Linked DNA regions of Ovis aries. The protein of the gene in region 3 interacts with the protein of the main gene of each other region in a pairwise test. Links are inferred from orthologs where the notes say so. Each region holds a gene or a part of one and is shown on either strand. Other genes may lie near its edges.

Region 1 (3,647 bases), on a different chromosome or scaffold from region 3:
CACTACCCCCGCAACCCCACACAGGCCCATGGCATGGCAGCCTGGATGGCCCTTGTTTTGACCCTGCTTCACCTGAGCCCTGCCTGGCCTGAGGGCAGCAGCCACGGGGCAGCCCCTCCACCCGCCCTGAAGCACTCCACCCCTTGTCCCACGGTGGCTGTGCAGCATCACTCTCACCTGCAGACCTGGGCCCCTCTACCTGCCATAAAGTGGGCCCATCTCCATGCCCGCCCTGGGTGCCCTCGCCTCTTTCTGGGCACTCACCCCTTCCTCCACCTTCAGCCACAGTCTGTGCTCAAATGAGAGTTTCACTCAGAGGTCCAGAACTCGATTCTACGCACCACCTCTTAAATCTTCAGAGGCTCAGAGGCCCCACAAGCTCTCTGGTCAAACTGAACTCCTGAGATTCCCTCACAAGCCCAGTTGATCCCAGGATCCTCATCTTGTCCAGCTACCCAAGCCCAAAACCTGTGCTCCCCCCGACCCCTCCCTCCCCGACGGCCATGTCCAAAGCCATTCCCAAAGATACCCGGCTGCACTGTCTAATGATCTCTCAGTCCAGCGGAGGACTCCATCTTCCCTTTGCCCCACCCTGTCCAATCACACTCTGTTTCATTCATTCATTCAACATATCTTGTAAGCATCTGCTATGGGCTTCCTCGGTGGCTCAGTGGTAAAGAATCTGCCTGCAACGCAGGAGACACAAGAGAAGCAGAAGACGCAGGTTCGGGAAGGTCCCCTGGAGGAGGGCATAGCAGCCCACTCCAGTATCCTTGCCTGGAGAATCCCATGGACAGAGGAGCCTGGCGGGCTAGGGCCCATGGGGTCGCAAGAGTTGAACAAGACTGAAGCGACTTAGCGTGAGCACGCATGCTTCAGGCATGAATCTGATGGTGAACAAAAATTCAAAAATTCCTATCCTCATGGAACTTGCATCTTAGTGGCACATGCAGAAAAGAGCCAAGATAAACCAGGAGAGAAGTAGGAGCTATTGCTCTGAGTGGGGCTGAGTGGCGGCCTCACCGAGAGGTGACAAGTGAGAGAAGAACAGGAGGAGGTGAGGGAGCTGGAAGCCGAGGCCCAGGTGAGAGGGGTCCAGGGCCAGCAAGGAGGCTGCGACAGGGGCCCCTGAGCAGGGCGAGCAGCACCCCGAGTGGTGGGAGGCAGAGAGGTGCTGGGCTGGGGGGCAAGGAGGCAGACAGGCAGGAAGGGCGTCCTGGAGGGTCACCGCCTTGGCCTGGTATCTTTCTGACAAGGGCGGCAGCACCCCATATCACACCCCCGCCTGCTGCTGCCTGATCCCTGGGGAACCTGACTGACACAGCACTTTTCTGGCCACAGAGACTGGAGCTGATGGGGTGGGACCCAGCCTGGGCCTTAGAACTTCCTGAGAAGGAGTAAGGAGGGTTAGGAGCACATGTGGGCGCACAGACTCACACTGGAGGAACCCACCACCGGTCATGTGAGCCATGTACCACTTGAGGGCGCCATCCCCCAGAGAGAGGGAAGCAGCCACACTCAGGGCCTGGCAAGGCTGTCGGGCAGGCAGGCAGTGAGCCCGAGGCCCAGAAGTCCCGCTTGGGCCACAACTCCTCTGGACCACCTTGCCTTGGATTCCATCAGCCAGTATGTAACCCCGTGGAAATAGGGGGACTGAAATAGAAGGACGCAGGAACTTGAGCCGTGAGGAGGAATTGAGGTCCATTCCACCAGAAAAAGGAGCCAATGAAGGATTTCCTTTCATTTTTTAAATAAATTTTTATGTGGACCATTTTGAAAAATCTTTAGTTAATTTGTTACAATACTGCTTCTATTGTTTATGTTCTGGTTTGGGGGCCATGAGGCCTGATGGTCTTAGCTCCCTGACCAGGGATTGAACCCACGCCCCCTGCCTTGGAAAGTGACGTCTTAACCACTGGATTGCCAGGGAAGGCCTAAGGATTTTCAGTAAGAGATGTGCATTTTGGAAACATATTCTGAGGGCAGCGTAGTTGGTGTGAGTGAAGTGTTAGTCCCTCAGCCATGTCCAACTCTTTCGACCCCATGGACTGCCAGGCTCCTCTGTCCTGGAATTCTCCAGGCAAGGATACTGGAGTTGGTAGACATGCCCTTCTCCAGGGGATCTTCCCTACCCAGGGATTGCACCCCGGTCTCCCTGCATTGAAGGCAGATTCTTTACTGTCTGAGCCACCAGGAGGAGAGATGACACCTACACGTGGGCTTGGCACCCTGTGAGCTTGGGCACACCTGACTGCCAACGCATCTGTGTGCACGCACGCGCTCTCACACACGCGCACACACACCCCTCCCTTCCCTCAGGACTCCTTCAGTCTGAGGATGTGGGGTCATCTGTTCCAGAGGAGACAGAATTGAGCCCCTGGCTTTCCCTCCCTGGTGCTGCCTGCCGTGCCCTTGTCCAGCACTCACCGAGGCTGCAGTGTTTATATAGTAGTTCTTCAGGTCCTGGGTCTCTGACACGATGGTGGCGTGCACTTGTAACACGGCGGCACTCATGTACAGGATGCCCGTGGTCCCGTGATACAGGCTGTCCTAGAAAGACGCGGCGGGGGCACAGCCACTGTCATTCGGGCACGCAAGCGGTAACACCTTCTCCTCTGACTCAGCCTCTGGCCAGAGGAGGCCAAAGAGACAAGCCTGCTCCCGAAACTCCCGCTTTTTGCTTTCTCAGTGTTCCTAGCACAATTTCTATGTTGTGAGCAATAGTGGATTAAATAAATGTCAGTACCAGTACGAGCCAAGATTTATTGAGTGCTTCTTCCCGGTCAAAATGTAGGCTAAATCTTTTCCTCATTTATCTCATGGAAACTTGTGAACTATGAGGTTGGTTCTATTTATCGTTAATGCCATTTTGAGGAAATAGAAGTCCAAGGTTAAAGTCAGTGACGAGAGGCTGAGCCAGGATTTGAAACCGGGCCACATTAACACCAAGCTTGTGCTCCGCAACTGTTAGTGCGATGAAGGCCTGCTGTTTGCTAGGTGTTTTCCTAACTGTACACACTTGTGTCATTTCATCTTCACAGCTAATTTCATAAGGCAGCTACTATTAACATGCCCACTTTAAAGATGAGAAGACTGAGGCTTAGCTAACACACGGCAGAGTCGGGCTAATCTGACTCTAGATTTCCGTCCATCTTTGAACCTTTGTGCTAAACTCTCAGCAGTGTTCTTTAACATCATAAGAATACTACAGTATTCTGGAAGGAATATCATAATAGGCAAATTGGCATTTTGCAACCCCTAAAGAATATGCATCAGAAGATGAAAGGGGACATTGGAGAAAAGAGTGATGGGGTAAGGTTGTCACCGTGAAAGAAGGACCACCAGTCACCATGTGTGATGTGACTTGGAGACACTGATGAAGCATCCTTGCCAGAAAGGTTTAACCCATTTCTGTTTAGCCTTTAGATACTAACTTCTGGCTTACAGAAAATTCAGGGACTAGAGGAGCAAATCACACCAGGAAAAAGCAAACAAACCAAAATGTGGGACCTTCTACAGCAGTGGTCCCCAGGCTTTTCGGCACCAGGGACTGGTTTTGTGGAAGACAATTTTTTTTCAAGAACCGTGGGTGGACGGTTGGTTTCAGGATAATTCAAGTGCATTATATTTACTGTGCAATTTATCTC
Region 2 (4,399 bases), about 140 Mb from region 3:
AGAGACATAATTGCTTAAACATTATATTAAACATAAACCATGGGAACATATTCTGTTTATATTGAAAATAAATTTTGAATGTGATCAAATTAATTTACCAGAAATGGTATGTATATGTTTATTTTTTCTAGGGAAGACATTCATAGTTTTCATCAGTTTCTCAGAGATACCCAAGACGCTCCCCTTAAAAAAATAAGTTTAAAAACAATTCATCTTGGGATTTCCCTGGTGGTCCAGTGGTTAAGAATCCACCTTCCAATGCAGGATACATTGGTTCAATCCCTGGCCAGGGAAGTAAGATCCCACATGCTGCAGGGTAACTAAGCCCGCACATCACAATGACGATCCAGTGCAGCCAAAATTTTAAAATCACAAAAACAACAATTCATCTCTATTCCCAGCAAAGGGACAAAAGGGAGAGCATTCGATACTTCCATGAGATGGAATGGGACAGGATAGAAAGGGGTGGCAGAGAAGTGGAGAGGAAAGGAATGAAGTGGAGGAACCAGAACTTCCTAACTGAGGCAATGCCCAACTATCGTGTACAAGGCAAAACAGTAACAGCAAACAGTACCAGCATTTCAATCTTTCTCTTTAGATGATAACCCCCTTCTTTTCCACTGGGTTTACCCAAAACTGAGGGATGGCCCTTACATAAAAAGCCATCTTAAAAAAAAAAAACCTGCTAGAGCAAGGAAATCTTTGTCTTTTCTGAAGAGCTGGTAAGCTTTTATTGTTAAACATGGGTTCTCTGTTATTATGTTACTTGGATCTATGTTACTTATTATTATGCATTTTTGGCTTAGTCCTCAGGAAACACAGGGATATGTTTTGCATTTGTTTTTAGCAACTCGTTTGATTTTCATTTACTTTCTAACCTCAGTCTTGTCCTCTTCCTTGTAGTGTTTTGTCCTTTGGTCCTTGTTTTAATGGGTCTATTGTAGCTGTGGTCTTTATAAGTTACCACAAATTTCCCTTTAAAAGTAGATATCTTATTAAGGAAGAAAAGAAGGGGAGGAAGGAAGGGAGGTGGGAGGGAAGGAAGGGAGGCAGTTCTTAAAAGTATGTCCTTTAGATAAGCTCTTATCAATTTAGTAGCCTTAATAGGATAAAACCTGCGGTGCATATTTTTTTTTAAACCTCAAATTATTTTACAAACCTTAAATAAACAAAAACAAATTTTCATCAAGTTTGAATTTTACTGTTTTTGTTCTGATAAAGTTTCTCTCGCTTGTTCTTTAAACCCTACCAATACTGTGCTCTCTAAATACAGTCTTTGGGGGAGAAACACCAGGTCTATTCTCAGTTATCACTCCATAAGCAGCCAACGTTCATGACTCCTTTTGCTCTCAACAGTGGATCTTTGCAGGTATGCCCTGTGTTCCTGCTGGGTCCCCCAACCTTCTTCCTGAAATCTTCTGTCCTCACCCACCGTTTCATTAGAAACTATCTCTGTCTCTCTATCTCTTTTTAAATAAAAGGGAATGCTCAGAACATCCAGCTTTGAATCCCTTTATGGAAAGGGACTAGCATTAGGATTATGGGAAGTCTCTATTACAAGGTTCTAGAGCTTTCCTTTAACATCATTCTTTGCTCAACACTGCTGCCCTTTACCTCCCTTTCTCAGGGTCAGTTCTACCATGTAACAGGTGACTAACAAATGTCTATTGACTAAACAGGAAAATTGTTTTCTAAATGATCTTAATTTTTAAGTAGCTTTCAACACCTGAAAAGTGGGAAGTTTGTGTGAAAAACATGGTCATTTTATTTACAGCCCTAGTGAGAACATTCCTAAACTTTCTTCTTGAAATGAACTTTCATTCTGCATATGTTTAATTATGTGTGTATGTGTGTGTCCAAAACTATTTTTCTTCCTTGAAAGAAAATGAAAGTGAAAAGTCACTCAGTCATGTCTGACTCTTTGCAACCCCATGGACTGTAGCCACTAGGCTCTTCTGTCTAGTGAATCCTCCAGGCAATTCTACTGGAGTGAGTAGCCATTCCTTTCTCCAGGGGATCATTCCCAGGGATTGAACTCAGGTCACCCACATTGCAGGCAGATTCTTTACCAGCTGAGCTAGCAGGGAAGTGTGTTAAGCTTGGATTTAGCTTAACAAACCTAAACATGTGCTACTAATGATCTTAATTATTACTCTGCTATTCATTTAATCAGGTGTTAAAGGAGCACGAAGAGGCCAATTCAACTGTGTTGTTCATCACCTTGAACACTTATACACACACACACACACACACACACACACACACACACATGAACTCACATATTCATGTATATACAACCATATGCTAGCCATAAATGGACCCTTGTCTTTTATATTTCATAAATGGCAGGCAGCCTCAGCCTAGACATGGCACTTTCTAGTCCTGGTATGTCAGGTGGCAGCAGAGAGGCTCAATGCCTTCTCTTGCTCTGAGTTAAAAACAGCAGGACAACATTACCTCTCTGGATCCTGATCACAAGCCTCCAGATGCCCAGTCCCAAAACAGCAGCAGTCAGCAGCCCACACACAACGGCCACCAGCACCCGGAGGTTACAGGCATGGCTGGAAGCCATGGGGAGTCCAAACCACAAACCAACGTCTGGGCGAAAGACAACTGGCTTCTTTTCTTCTTCAGCCAAGAACTTTAATCAAAAACTCTTCTAAAAAAACCACAATTCCTTCTCTCAGGGTTCTGTTAGTCAGATATCCTCAATTTTTTTTTAGGATTATTGAGGTTAATCAGGCAGGAAGCAGTTCGAATCACCTAATAAAAGGAACACAGTCTGCTTGCTATTTCCTCATCCTTCACTGAATGGGATCATGCAAAAAATGATTGGTGTTATGAGGAAGAAAGATAACTCAGGGCAATAAAGGAGAAAGGGAGGGGATAGCTAACAGAGTCAAAGTGCAAATGTCCTGACAAGCAAAAAGTAGGGAAGGAAAAAAAAAAAAAGAAACAAAAAAGAACCTAAAAGTCAGGAAGGCAGTGGACCTGGAGGGTCACCTATAGCTTAGCTTCCTCTTTTTTGTTAGGAGCCTCTAGCAGAGGTGGAGAAGGCAAGGCACCCCACTCCAGTACTCTTGCCTGGAAAATCCCATGGACGGAGGAGCCTGATGGGCTGCAGTCCATGGGGTCACTAAGTGTCGGACACAACTGAGAGACTTCACTTTCACTTTTCACTTTCATGCATTGGAGAAGGAAATGGCAACCCACTCCAGTGTTCTTGCCTGGAGAATCCCAGGGGGGACGAGGGAGCCTGGTGGGCTGCCGCCTATGGGGTTGCACAGAGTCGGACATGACTGAAGCAACTTAGCAGCAGCAGCAGCAGAGGAAGAACCACAAACTGGACTCAAGATTGCCAGGAGAAATAGCAACAACCTCAGACAGACAGATGATACCATTCTAGTAGCAGAAAGTGAAGAGAAATTAAAGAGCCTCTTGATGAAGGTGAAAGAGAAGAGTTAAAATGCTAGCTTGAAGCTCAACAATCAAAAAATTAAGATCATGGCATCTGCTCCCATCACTTCACGGCAAATCAGTTCAGTTCAGTCACTCAGTCGTGTCCGACTCTTTGCGACCCCATGGACTGCAGCACACCAGGCTTCCCTGTCTATCACCAACTCCCAGAGCTTACTCAAACTCATGTCCATTGAGTCAGTGATGCCATCCAACCATCTCATCCTCTGTCATCCCCTTTTCTTCCCACCTTCAACCTTTCCCAGCATCAGGGTCTTTTCCAATGAGTCAGCTCTTCACATCAGGTGGCCAAAGTATTGGAGTTTTACCTTCAGCATCAATGCTTCCAATGAATATTCAGAACTGATTTCCTTTAGAATGGACTGGTTGGATCTCCTTGCAGTCCAAGGGACTCTCAAAACTCTTCTCTGACACCACAGTTCAAAAGCATCCATTCTTCAGCGCTCAGCTTTCTTTATAGTCCAACTCTCATATCCATACACGACTAATGGAAAAACCATAGCTTTGACTAGATGGATCTTTGTTGGCAAAGTAATGTCTCTGCTTTTTAATATGCTGTCTAGGTTGGTCATAACTTTTCTTCCAAGGAGTAAGCATCTTTTAATTTCACGGCTGCAGTCACCATCTGCAGTGATTTTGGAGCCCAGAAATAAAGTCTGACACTGTTTCCATTGTTTCCCCATCTATTTGCTAAGAAGTGATGGGACCAGATGCCATGATCTTAGTTTTCTGAATGTTGAGTTTTAAGCCAACTTTCTCACTCTCCTCTTTCACTTTCACCAACAGGCTCTTTAGCTCTTTGCTTTCTGCCATAAGTGTGATGTCATCTGCATATCTGAGATTACTGATGTTTATCCCAGCAATCTTGATTCCAGCTTGTGCTTCATCCAGTTCAGCATTTAAGTTAAATAAAGGCAGGGTG
Region 3 (3,647 bases):
ACAAGGGGACCTGGACTTTTCCTTCTCTGAGCTTCAGTTTCCTCATCTGTAAAATAAACGTTGTCTTGAGTAATGAATTAATGGCCATGAAGGGCCTGCTTTGGCTTCTGCCCTATGGCAGGAACTCAGTAAGCAGGTGTCCGTGTCTCCTTCCTCATCTCCTGGGACTCATGGAAGGACACGGGGCTTAGGGGGTGGAGCCGAGACCTGGGGCCCTCGTCCCGACTGCCACTCACCAGCTACTGGATGTGGGCCAGGCCCAGGCGTTTGGTGGAGTGGGTCCACAGGCAGAGCTGAGAGCCTCTCAGTGGGCTTGGGAGCGCCCTCCTCCAGGGAAGCCTGTCCTACCCCAGGACCCCAGTGAAGAGGGACCACTTGTAGGGCTCAGGGCAGGGGACTGGCTGCTCCATCACGGGTTTCCCACCCCACACAGCGAACTGCAGCCCTTGCTGCTGCTCACGCCGAGGGGCCTGCCTCTCAGCCTTCCTGATGCTCCTGCTGACCACTCTTGCAGCTCTGATCGCCCTGGTCGCCATCCTTGGACCCCCACCTCGCACACCAGGTCAGGGTGGGCAAGAGAGAGTGGGTCAGACTTGTTGGGAGGGTAGAGGGAACACAGAGTGACGGGGAAAACTGATCCTGCCTGGCTTCTCCACAAAGTGACTTCTGAACAGTCCCTTAGGGTGCATGTACAAACACACACTGACACTGACAAGCACACACCTCTGAGCTTCCATCTGCACATCTGTAGCTTGAGCTGTTGAAGTGGACCCAGCTATGATGCCACCTCCTCCAGGAAGCCTTCCCCTGCCTGCCTGGTTTAGGAGCCTTGTTTCAGCTCCCATTGCTCTCACACTTCCTCTCCCCCCAAGCCCAATCACCCAGAGTGGTGTTCTCCTTCTGTGTGTCTGTCTCGACCACAAAGGACAGGGACCTGTCCAGTACATCCCTGAGGCCAGGCAGGCTTCAGCAGTGAGCCCCAACACCAAACGTGACCTCGCGGAGCTAACAGTTTGCAGAGTGACATGGAGGTTAACCCAATAAGCACTTTAAGGCAGGCTTAGTGGGAGCTCTGAGAGTCTGGGATGGGGCTCTGGCCAGTCCAGGGGTCAGGATGGGCACCTTGAGAAATGAACGGCACTGAAGCATGAAGGGAAAGCGGGGTTGGTTGGTGGAGGGGGTGGCGGGAAAAGCATCCAGGCACAGGGAACAGCATGTGTGGGGTGGAAGGAAATATGAAGAGAAGGTTAGTGGGCTTGATGGACAGGGCAGCGGGTAGGGCCAGGGGCCCTGGGCCCAGCGCCTCGAAATCTGCACTGGGGAAGGAGGTCACCATCTAGAGAGCCATGGGAAGGAATTAGCTGGAGGTGGGATGTCACCAGACCTACCTTTCTGAGAGATGTCTCTGTTGCCTAGCAGGAGGTGCTAAAGGAACACAGTGAGAATAGGGGTAGAATCCATGGTACCCTCGTGCCCGTGCATGGACACTGCGGGTAGATGTGAACACAGGAAGAGCTGCCTCCATGCACGTACCTGAGTGTCTGTGTGTACATGTGTGCAAGCATCTGCGTGTATGCACATGTTTGTATGTGCAGGTACATATCTGTGTGTGTTTGCCCTTGTGTGTGCATGTCTGTGTTTGTGCAAGTGTGTCCAAGCGTGTATGTCTGTGGGCAGTTGTGTGTGTGTGACAATGTGCCTCTGAGAGCCAGCCCCCTCATACTAGCTGAGGCAGTTCCAGGAGATGAGCTGTGATTCACATGCGCACAGACCCACATAAACTCGCCCCTACCTCCAACCCACACACACGTGTGTCTGTGCGCACAACCCGCAGAACTGGACCTCCAGGCTCCTCTGTCAGTTTCTCTCCCCTAATTCTTTGGAGCAGCCCCAGGGCTGGGTGCTTGACGCAGTGGGACAGAGGGAAGACTCTCAAAGGGACAGACACTCAGACGGTCCCCATCATTCCTGGGCACTGCGGAGGCAGCCCTACCTCAGGAAAGAGAGAGGCAGCAGCCTGGTTATTAGCTGTGTGGCCTGGCCTCTCGAACCTCACCGAGTCTTACTCTTCTCATCTGTAAAATGGGGCTAGTGACGGCATGTCACAGGAGGGTTCAGGGAAACAATAGAATAAAAATGTGAAGGTGTTTGCAGGCTGTATAGCTGTCCCAGATATAAGGACTGTGGCATAACGGTCGCTAGCTGGCCCCAGGATGTTGCCTCTGACACCCTCACCTGCACCAGGAGCCCTGCTATGAAAACCCCATCACTGGCTTGAGGCCTGTCCTGAGGAGCTTCCCGTGAGATGGTTGTTCGATAGACATGGGAACCATGACTTTCTCTGCACTCTCTCCAGGCTTATTCACACAGAGACTTTTGTGTAATCTCCCCAGCAGTCCCACGGGGTGTGTGCTATGCTCCCCACTTTGGAGACAGGAACCTGAGGCACAGAGAGGTCAGGTCACCTGCCCATGGTCACACAGCTGGCAAGTGGTTGAACTGGGGCTTGCACGCCATCTTCAATGCCGAGCTCAGGGTCCTCCCTGTGGCCCCAGGCCCTCGCTGCAGCTCAGGTGGGGCTCAGTGGGGAGAACTTGGTGATGCCCTTGTGAACACCACCCTTGACCCTTCCGGGGCTGGCCCCGCCCACTCAGGGGCCCAGGCCTGTGTGACGCAGACAAACAGGACGGGCTTCCTGTGCAACGACCGGAGCAGCTGCATCCCGGCCAGCAGGGTCTGTGACGGCGTTCGCACCTGTGCCCGCAGCGAGGACGAGGAGGAGGCCTTGTGCCGTGAGTACCTACGCCAGGGCCCCTTGAGAGCTGCCCCAACTCCAGCTCTCCCTGCAGCCAGACTGAAGCTCGACCACCCTGAACGTACCAGGCACCCTTGTGTGCTTCTATGCCTTTGGTTGTATACTGCCAGGAACATTTTTTCCCACCCTGTCCCAGTCACATGCACACACATACGCCCACACAAGGGAATGCCTCCATTCTGGGTCTTGAGAAACTTTATGCAACCCTCATGGCAGAGTTCAAGTGTTACCTCCTCCAAGGAGCCTTCTCTGACTCCCAAACTAGATGCTGCTGCTGCTCAGTCGCTTCAGTCGTGTCCGATTCTGTGTGATCCCATAGATGGCAGCCCACCAGGCTCCACCATCCCTGGGATTCTCCAGGCAAGAACACTGGAGTGGGTTGCCATTTCCTTCTCCAATGCATGAAAGTGAAAAGTGAAAGTGAAGTCGCTCAGCTGTGTCCAACTCTTAGCGACCTCATGGACTACAGCCCACCAGGCTCCTCCATCCATGGGATTCTCCAGGCAAGAGTACTTGAGTGGGGCGCCATTGCCTTCTCCACAAACTAGATGAAGTTTCCTTTACTGGACTCTCATAGCCCCTGTGCTTATCTGTGTCCCAGCCCCAGTCACATTGATTGTCAATCTCGTTTGGCATGTTTGCCCCCACCATCAGACTGTGAACTCCTCTGAGGCAAACCTAGTCTGCTTGGTCTTGGGGCCCAGGGCCTGGCACAGGGCTCTGCACAGAGAAATATCTGGAACGATTTGTTGAATAAATGATGAAGTTAGTGAATCAACCAATGAATGAATGGGAAGGTCTAACCCCAGACCTTAGACCTGACAGTTCTCAA

What was found.
Region 1: the proteins of LDLRAD1 (region 3) and MAL-like protein interact in binary tests that used the Homo sapiens proteins (3 or more experiments, as listed by UniProt). The two-hybrid records come from large-scale screens. The link is inferred for Ovis aries from reciprocal best matches to the Homo sapiens genes LDLRAD1 and MALL.
Region 2: the proteins of LDLRAD1 (region 3) and ADGRG7 interact in binary tests that used the Homo sapiens proteins (3 or more experiments, as listed by UniProt). The two-hybrid records come from large-scale screens. The link is inferred for Ovis aries from reciprocal best matches to the Homo sapiens genes LDLRAD1 and ADGRG7.

The regions. Positions count from the first base shown.
Region 1 is NC_056056.1:104,672,542-104,676,188, forward strand, and holds part of MAL-like protein, read right to left. Parts: intron 2,551-3,647; coding exon 2,428-2,550; intron 1-2,427.
Region 2 is NC_056054.1:165,965,104-165,969,502, reverse strand, and holds the start of ADGRG7 (adhesion G-protein coupled receptor G7), read right to left. Parts: upstream 2,814-4,399; 5' UTR 2,573-2,813; coding exon 2,458-2,572; intron 1-2,457. UniProt on the Homo sapiens protein: Orphan receptor.
Region 3 is NC_056054.1:28,540,194-28,543,840, reverse strand, and holds part of LDLRAD1 (low-density lipoprotein receptor class A domain-containing protein 1), read left to right. Parts: exon of another isoform or gene 1-433; coding exon 434-562; intron 563-2,393; coding exon 2,394-2,792; intron 2,793-3,647.